Coturnix japonica: one gene and its partner. The protein of the gene in region 1 interacts with the protein of each later gene in a pairwise test. Links are inferred from orthologs where the notes say so. Each region holds a gene or a part of one and is shown on either strand. Other genes may lie near its edges.

Region 1 (4,382 bases):
TCTTCTAGAATAGGAGATTCGTGTATGTCTGGAAAGGAAGAAGTAGATGTTAATAACTGCTGTAGATACAAACAGCAACATGATGCACTGCAAGGCCAGCCACACTCTGGCAGAAGGATTTTAATCAACAATTGTAATCAACAAAATCAGACCCCATTGCATTTGTGGCTTTGTGATTTCCTACACAATACATTGGATTGTTAACACAGCAGCTGCATGCTGGCAGTCCCAAACTCCCCATTGAAGGCACATTCTGAGGAGGGGGAACCTTGACGAAGGAAGAAGAACCTGAGGAAGCACTCACTGCTGAAAGCCTCCGGGTACTGCTTGGCCAGCTTCCCCTTCAGCGCCCTGCAGGAGGAGAGAGCCACGTTCACAGCTGGACACACACACAGACCCCTTCCATCCTTGGGGTCCCTCACACCATCCCCTCCCAGCTCTTCCTACCGGATCCGACGGAAGATGCTGTCGAGATCCTTCTTCATCTCCACCAACGTCTTGGTGTGGTGCAGGAAGCGCTCGTTCATCTGCTGCATTCGGATGCTCGACAGGTTGTTGAAGTTGAGCAGCATCTCGTTCGTCTTCTCAAAACGATCCAACCTGCGGGGGGGGGGCAGCAGTTCCCGGTGTTATATGAGCGCACCGGGGGCTGCCCCCGCTCACGGGACCCCCCCGGGACTCACATGTTCTTCTGAGCCTGGATGATCGCGTTCACATCCTCGGTGTTCACCATGCCCAGCACCCGCCCGCAGAACACCCGCGAGGCCGTGGGCTCCATCGCACCGCTGCCTCTAAGGGATCCCCGGCCCCCGCAGTGCCCGGTAACGGAACCCCCCCCCCCAAACCCGGACTCGGTATCTCCGTCCGTCCCTCGGCAGCACCGGGGCCGCTCCTTTTCCGTCTCCCTTCACATGACGGGAGAGGAACCGGCGGCCGCTCCTCGCTTCCGGGTGCGGGGTCACGTCGAGCGCGACCCCGTGGCGTCACCGCGCGTGTGCGTCACGGCGCCGGGCCGGAAGTGGTGGCGATTGGGTCTAGTGAAGGGACCGGGTCTGTCCCGGTACCGGAAAACGAACCCGGGGCTGTTCTGTGCGATGGACCGACCTCGCAGGGATTGAGAGGTCCGGGAAAGCTCCGTGGGCCTCCAGCACCCACAGTCGTTAGAGGCGGTGCACCGAGAGCTGCCGGGGTGACGGGCGGCGGGGACACCGGCCCGGTTGGGGTTCCGGACCCGCGGAGCAGGTTCGGTGCTGCGGCCCCTTTAAGACCGCGGCGCGCCGTTCTCGACGCGCCGATGAGGAACGTCGGCGTCACCCAATGGCCTGAGGGGGGCGGGAGGCAGCGGCCCAATGGGAGCGCGGGGGCGGGGCCAGCGGGCGCGGGTTGGCGGGTAGGTGGGAGCGGGGGGCGCGCGGCCGTTGCCAGGGGAGTCCCCGCGCGTGGCGGGAACGTGACGGGGGGACCCCCCGGCGGGCGCGCGCGCGGGAGAAAAGCACGTGGTGGAGGAGAGGGGCGCGGGGCGGGGCTTCCAGGGGCCGGAACCGGTGAGTGGGGCCTCCCCGGGCCGGCCCCGGCGGAAGGGCGCTGTGCGAGCCCGAGCCGCTCGGGTGGTGTTAGACGCCTCATCGCGGTGTCCGCAGTTTGCTGTTTGTATCTCCCGCAGGTCGCTACTCTCTCCCTGCTCTGCCGCCATGGCTTCCAGCGGAGAGGAGACGAGCAGCGGCTCCCCCGGCCGGGCGGGCAGCGGCACCGAACCGCCCAGCCCGGAATCGGCCGCAGCCTGCTCCGCTCAGCTGGACAGTATGGAGGATTTCGAGGTTCTGGAGGAGGACGAGGATGATCTGAGCGAGCTGCCGCCGCTGGAGGACGTGGGACGGGCACGGGGACCGCTGCAGGAGGACGCCCAGTCCGCAGAGCAAGGCCCAGGGGAAGCAGCTGAGGACCCCCAGGAGTGGCTCGATGTCTTGGGTGAGAGCAGGGCAGGAGGGCAGCAGGGCATTCCCAAGATGCTTTGGCGACCACGGAGGCTGAGGTTGGGTTGGGAGTGAGGTTCTCCCCTTCCCTACTATGGGCTGACCACCTCTGGCTTCTCTTGGCCCAGGGAGTGGTTTGCTTAAGAAGAAGACACTCGTGCCAGGTCAGGGGGTGGAGAGCCGCCCCCACAAAGGCCAGGAGGTGACTGTCCGTCTGAGGGCCACACTGGACGATGGCACTGTGGTGGAGGAGAACCCCAGCCTCACCTTTACCCTGGGAGACTGTGATGTATTGCAGGTGGGGCTTGGAGGAAGCTGCTCTGATGTGTGCAACTTCACCCTGGGGGGAGACATGGGGTTGGCAATGTCCTTGTTGGAGTCAGGGTTGGTTGCTTTGCTCATCTTCTCCTGCAACATTGCTCCCTGTAGGCTCTGGACCTCTGTGTACAGCTTATGGAGATGAGAGAAACTGCTTTGATTACATCAGATGCCAAGTATTGCTATGGTGCACAGGGCAGGTGAGCATGGAGAGTGTGGAATGGGATAGGGTGGGCCCAAACAGGGCTATGACAACTATCCCCATTCCCCACTACCACGGCCTGATCACAGCTTTGTGCCACTGCAGGAGCCCTGACATCCCACCCAACGCAGCCCTCACGCTGGAGGTCGAGCTGCTGGAGGCTCGGGATGCACCAGACCTGGAGCTGCTCAGTGGGAAGGAAAAGATAGACCTGGCCAACCGCAAGCGGGAGCGAGGTAACTTCTACTACCAGCAGGCAGATTATGTGTTGGCCATCAATTCCTATGACATCGCTCTCAAAGTCATCGGCTCCAGTTCCAAAGGTACCCCTTTCTGCTGTGAGCGAGGGCTGCCTGTGCTTCCTTCCTGTTGTAACTCACCTCTGGGGTCTTTGCAGTTGATTTCACCCCGGATGAGGAGGCTGAGCTGCTGGATGTGAAGGTGAAATGTCTCAACAATCTGGCAGCCTCTCAGCTTAAACTGGACCATTATGAGGCGGCCCTGAAGTCCTGTAACCTTGTTCTGGAGCACCAGCCAGGGAACATCAAGGCACTTTTCCGGAAGGGCAAGGTGAGCTGCTGCCATCCCTGCACTTCAGCAGGGCTGGGGAGGCGCAGGGACCAGACCTCAGTCACCTCCCTCAACCCCCACCTCATCTTCCAGGTCCTGGCCCAGCAGGGCGAGTACAGAGAGGCCATCCCCATCCTAAAGGCAGCTTTGAAGCTGGAGCCTTCAAACAAGGTAGGCTGGGTGTTCTCATGGCTCTGGCCTTGTGGCCGTGTTCCTACAAACCTCAGTGTACCCCATAGCTGTCACCAGTCTCCTTTGTGTGTGGCCAGGGCAGCTGTGGGGTGGTGTACCAAGTGCCAGCACCTGGTGCTGCAATACCTGAACGTGGCTGAGCTCGTGGGTTCCTTATCTCCATGTTGCAAGACTCTCTTTTTGCCCTTTGGCCCTTGTGGTAGCAGGGATCTCTGCCAGCCCATCTCTGCTTCAGCAGCTCTGCCTGCACGGTCTGGCTTCCCTGTGGCTTGTGCCATTGCTGTGAGAAGCGAGGCAGAGCAAGTTCTTGTCATCTCACTCAGCAGTCTGCAGTGTGATTCATTGGGTGGCCCCAGCAAACCCAAGCCTCAGTCCAGCACCCAGGCCGGAGCAATCTCTGGGTCAGGAATTTCCTGTTAGTTAATGATCAGCTGCAGGACTGAAGCCTCAGGGAAGTCAAAAGCCTCAGCAGTGCCAGGAAGTGGCTCCAGCAAAAGCAGGGCTGGGAGCAGCAGGGGAGGTGCTGCCTGCAGTGGGGGCATTGCTCCTTCATTGGCTTCTCGGTTTTATCCGCCTCTTTGTGGCCATTCCACCAAAACATCACAGTTCACCTCGTGTTCCCTGGTGCCTGAAGGTCACGGGCAGCATGAGGCCCTGCAGGTGCTCAATAGCCTTCAGAGCTCCCAGGCACCTTGTGGTGTGAGAGCCCTCATGAGGAAGGGTATATGGGATCTCAAAGTAGCACTTGGGCTGCTTGTAAGAGGTAGAGGAGCAGAACTGGGACTACAGGGATGGGGGATGCTCTCCCTGCTTGTCCTTTGTGTCATTGCTGCTGGCAGGGCTGCAGCTCATCAGCCCATCTGGGTGAAGCTTTTAATTGAAAAGGAGCAAAAATCAAACTGCCTGGCAGTGACGTTACCAATGAAACCACAAACAAATGATTGGCCTTTCCAGCTGCTTGCTGAGATTCGCAGGGATGTGGCAGTGCAGCTTTAAACACACAGTGGTGAGTCACAGCTAAGGCTACCGGTGGTGAGAACAGACTCAAGAAATGATCAGCTCCACCTGCTTTTGGATGAGAAAACCTGGTTGTCTGGTGCTGCCGGCACCTCGTCACTGGTGCAAAC
Region 2 (4,476 bases), on another chromosome or scaffold:
GAAAAGCCAGGTCAAGCCAGACACAACACAGAACTTCTGCCCCAGTGTGGCTAGTGAGCTGGAGAAACTGAAGACTCACCCTCTTCTTCAGCACAGAAAAGGTGGCTCCACAGCCTGTACAGCTCCCTAGAAGAGAAAGATAAGAGGTCAGGCAGGGTTCTGATACTTGGGACCCTAAGGCACAAGAGCACCCACATTTGTTGTACAGACCCTCCCAACCCTGCTGTCCCCAGGAGAGCTACAAATACCCTTTCCATTGGGGGAAAGAGTCACTAAGGTGCCAGGACAAAGTAACACGTCACTTTGTCCTCTCACAGTTCAGTGGTCACCAACAGCAGCACAGACCCCACAGTGCTGAGGTTCCCCAGACAACACTTGCTCTCGGCCTTACCAAAATTGTTGCTGGGGTAGCGTTTGCGCAGGCGCTCAGTCAGACGTGACACCTTGCTGCGGATCACATCGTTTTTGCTCATAAAACCGTTGTCTGGGAGGCTGAGGTCAAAATCTGCTGAACACTGAGAGCCCTCATCATCCTCCTATAAGGAGCAAAGCTGAATAAGCAAAAAGCAGTGAGGGGCCATAGGGCAGCCTGCCCCAGAGACAAGCATGAAAACAGGATGCTTCACCTGTCAGCATCACAAGCTACTGCCAAACCAGGTAAAGGCTACCAGCTCCAGCTGGGAAGAGATGCCCCCTCGCACACCTCAGCACAGCAGTACTCACCATGACCAGCAGCTGGTTCTCCTTCTCCCGCAGCATGGGACAAAGAGAGGCAGTAGAGATGGAGTGAGACTGCAGAGGTGCCCAGCCCCACTCCTGCCCTCCCCAGGCATCCACTTTGCCCTGTCACAGCAGTCCTCCGCCCCAATTGCCTGACCTGCAGGCACAGCCCACCCCCACCATGATCAAACCTCAATAGCATCCTTGAACTCTTCATCAGGCTCTGCCTCCTCTGCCTCCTCCACGCTGCCAGGGGTAAGATCCTGCAAGAGAATCAGAGCTAGTCCTATCCTATTTCACCCGCCTTTGAAGTAAAGACCACACTGTCAAGGCAGCTCTAGAATGAAGCACCAGCTCACTGGCAGACCCATAAAGTGAGCATCAAAAGGTAGGGAGAGCCCCTGCCTCTCCAGGGTAACTCCACACACATAGCAAGATAGAGTGAAGAACCCAGCAGAGCAAGGCATCCCCTCAGCAGTTCAATATGGAATCCCGAGCCAGGTACACAGGCTTCCAGCAAAACTATTTTGTGTGCAGATGGACAGAAGCAAAACCAGTTGCAAGAGCTGAAGCTGCAGCTCCCACCCCAAGTCTCTGAGCCCTGCCACCCCTCACCTCTGTGCTGGTGGGTGTGGGAGTCCGGTCTGGTGGGGCATCAGTTGGTAGGGGCTTGGCAGGCTCTGGAGGGCTCTCAAGAGGTTTGGTGCCCAAACTCTGCTCAACAGAGGCCTTGAGCTCCTTTATCACTGATAAGAGGAGAACACAGATGGATCAAGGTTGCACTCCCCTTCCTCCAGCCACACAGGCTACCTCCAGGAAGAGCCCTTACCTTGGTAGAACTGGCTGTTGCCCAGGAAGAGGGTGCTGTTGAGGATGGCCATGACCCAGCAGAGTGGCAGCAGGTAAAGGATGCAGACAGAGCCCAGCAGCGCTCCGTAAAACCTGGGAAAGAGCAGCAGGTCAAGAGAAATCAGAAATCCCACAGTCCCTCTCCTTGTCCTTTGTCTGCTCTCCGCAAGCACCAAACACAAGAGCAGCTCTACTGGCCTGGTCTCTCTCCCTGCTAAGCCCAACGCAGGGCACCCAATGCAGCCCTACTCACTGGGAAGAGACAGAAGGGTTCTCCCAGTACAGCACTCGATACGCCGCCTCACAGCTGTAACACAGCCCGCTCAGGAACCCCTCCAGCTGGATCAGGCTGAAACGAGACCACTGAGTCAAGAAACGGCCCCACGAACACACAGCCTGTCCTGCTCCGCTCACACAGCACGACCTAGGGAAGGTGATGCCCCAGGACAGGAGGGTGCTGGACACTCACAAGCACTTGACCTGGGTCAGAGCCTCCTGGCGTGACAGCTGCACTTTGCGCAGGTCCTCGCGGCGCACGCTGTGGTACTTCCTGCGCAGCAGCTCCCGCTCCGAGGGCCGGACACGGCAGGTCTCCTGCAGGTAACACAGCAGCGCCGGCAGCACCACCAGCAGCGCCAGCACCGAGTACCAGGCGGCTGCGGGACACAGCACAGCATCAGCCGGCAGGAAGGTGGGATGGGACACAGCACTGCCCGCATACAGTGCACACATGGACACAATGCACACACATACACACACACAGGTACACACATACACACACATGGACACAATGCACACACACATACACACACATGGACACAATGCACACACATACACACACATACACACACAATACACACATGTACACACATACACACACACCTTGGTCCAGGGTGAGCAGGAGGAAGTTCAGGCCGATGCAGACGATCATGGAGCACAGCGGCCGCTGCCACCTGTGGGACAGCACACAATGAGCTGCCAATGAGCTGCGGGCCCAGCCCCGGTCCCGGCCCCGTCCCGCACCTACCGGAGGAGGCAGCGCACGCCCTCGGCCGCATCCCGCAGCGGCTCCAGGTACATCTGCAGCCGGCGGTAGCTCCGCACGAGGTCCAGCAGGTCGAAGGCGGCGGCCTTGGGTGTCGATAGCGGCTCTGCCGACCCCTCCCCGCCCCCCGGTGCTGCCGGTGCCGCCCCGTCCCCGCCCGCAGCCGGCCCGTCCCGCTCCGCCGCCTGCATCCCGCACCGCACCGCACTTCCGGGAAGCGGCCAGGTGCGCCGTGACGTCACCCGGCGGCGCGGCACGCAGCCAATCAGAAGAGCCGAGGTGGGAGGTGGGGACGGAAGCTCCGCCCAAGCGATGGTTAAAGGGCGGAAGTGGCGGCGGGGCGGCAGTGGGTGTGTTACCATGGGAGGGCGCGGGGTGCGCCGGGCCTCACCATGAGCTGGGCCTCACTCGGCCTCACTCGGCCCCGGCCCAGCTCGCAGGGCTGTAAGAGGCCGGGAGCCGCAGAGCAGCCTGTGCTCCTGCTCCCACCCCACGATGAGCGCGGCCCATCCCACGGAGCAGCGCCCCGTGTCACCGCACACAGGCGTGTCTGGGCCTGGAAGCACACGGTGTTCCCGGCCCTTGTATCTGTGAGCTGTAGGATATGGAGCTGAAGGGCGGGCTGCTCCGTGTGCATGGAACCTCGTGGCACTGAGATGCACGGTGCAGCTGGTACAGCAGAAGGGAGAAGGAACAGTATCCAGAGGATAATATACTTCCAGGCAACCAGTCTGTGGCAGAGTGGAACTGGGTGGGCTTTAAGGTCCCTTCCAACATAATCGCTCTGTAATGATACACAAACACCAGGTTCTGCTCCATCCCTCCCATGGTGTGAGAGGGCTGGGGCAGCCCATCCTCAGGGCAGGGGTTTGAGCCCCTCTTCCAGAGCTCAGCACCCACAGCCCCAGAGCACAGTGGGCCCCTGCAATCACTGCTCCAGGAGGGGTGACCCCGAGGCTGCAGAGCTGAGTGTAAGTGATCATCTCTTGATCCCTGCAGGTCCCAGTCCTGCTACAAAACCCCAGACACCAAGTGAGCATCAGTGTTGCTTTATTTGGAATGTGAATCCAAAGGCACCAGAGAAGGGACTGCAGTGGGACAGCGGCAGGTACAACAGGCAGCGTGGGGTTGTGGGGTAAGGCACTTATGGCAGCGCTAGCCTCCCTGTGTGTGGGCAGCCTGGGCCTTGGGGCTGCACCAGAGCACACGGGAGCCAGCAGTGTCTGGGACCAGCCCTGACACAGGGTGGGGATAGCACATCCTGCCAGGGGTTGGCCCAGGGGCTGGCAGAGTGTGGGAGCACACAGGTATCTGCTGACACAGCCCTCGGTGATGGAAGCTGTGATCTAGTGCCAACCTGGCCCCTCCGTGCCATCGCTGCTGCTAGCCCCACAAAAAGGCACCAGGTGACTGCTGCGGGGGCCACAGCTCTCCAAACTGAGCCTAACACAGGGGCTGGGGCAGTCCTTTTCTGCCCTGAAAGCAATGGCAGAATGTGTCCTCAAGCAGGGTGAGGACAGCTGGTAACCAAAGCAGCTCCAGCATGGTGCTCCTCCAACACTTCCCAGTCTCTGGCTGCCCAGTGCTTCTGCTGATCTCGCACAGCCCCGGCCACCTGTGGGGCTGGTGCAGACCTTACCACCGGAGCCCTCCCCTCGCAGACAGGCTGTGTCCTACAAGGACACTGCTGCAACCACCCTTCCATGATCAGTCTGTGGGCAGCACAGGGATGGAGATGGAGACACGCAGTCCCACAACAGAGAGAGTCTTCCAGGATGACAATCCAAGTGCTGTGAAGCCAGGCAGGGTGAGATGTGCCTGTTGTGGCTGGAACAGACAGTCCTTGGGTAGGCTTAGGGGTC

What was found.
Region 2: the proteins of FKBP8 (region 1) and ZFYVE27 interact in binary tests that used the Homo sapiens proteins (3 or more experiments, as listed by UniProt). The link is inferred for Coturnix japonica from reciprocal best matches to the Homo sapiens genes FKBP8 and ZFYVE27.

The regions. Positions count from the first base shown.
Region 1 is NC_029543.1:2,932,715-2,937,096, forward strand, and holds the start of FKBP8 (peptidyl-prolyl cis-trans isomerase FKBP8), read left to right. Parts: upstream 1-1,343; 5' UTR 1,344-1,349; coding exon 1,350-1,390; intron 1,391-1,428; exon of another isoform or gene 1,429-1,544; intron 1,545-1,663; coding exon 1,664-1,968; intron 1,969-2,101; coding exon 2,102-2,271; intron 2,272-2,402; coding exon 2,403-2,491; intron 2,492-2,598; coding exon 2,599-2,816; intron 2,817-2,890; coding exon 2,891-3,063; intron 3,064-3,156; coding exon 3,157-3,234; intron 3,235-4,382. Other genes in the region: KXD1 (kxDL motif-containing protein 1), read right to left, coding at 1-28, 305-351, 448-600, 684-778. UniProt on the Homo sapiens protein: Constitutively inactive PPiase, which becomes active when bound to calmodulin and calcium. Seems to act as a chaperone for BCL2, targets it to the mitochondria and modulates its phosphorylation state.
Region 2 is NC_029521.1:19,457,397-19,461,872, forward strand, and holds the start of ZFYVE27 (protrudin), read right to left. Parts: upstream 2,834-4,476; 5' UTR 2,806-2,833; coding exon 2,597-2,805; intron 2,523-2,596; coding exon 2,452-2,522; intron 2,226-2,451; coding exon 2,039-2,225; intron 1,919-2,038; coding exon 1,823-1,918; intron 1,663-1,822; coding exon 1,550-1,662; intron 1,467-1,549; coding exon 1,336-1,466; intron 984-1,335; coding exon 912-983; intron 745-911; coding exon 724-744; intron 537-723; coding exon 392-536; intron 127-391; coding exon 80-126; intron 1-79. UniProt on the Homo sapiens protein: Key regulator of RAB11-dependent vesicular trafficking during neurite extension through polarized membrane transport. Promotes axonal elongation and contributes to the establishment of neuronal cell polarity.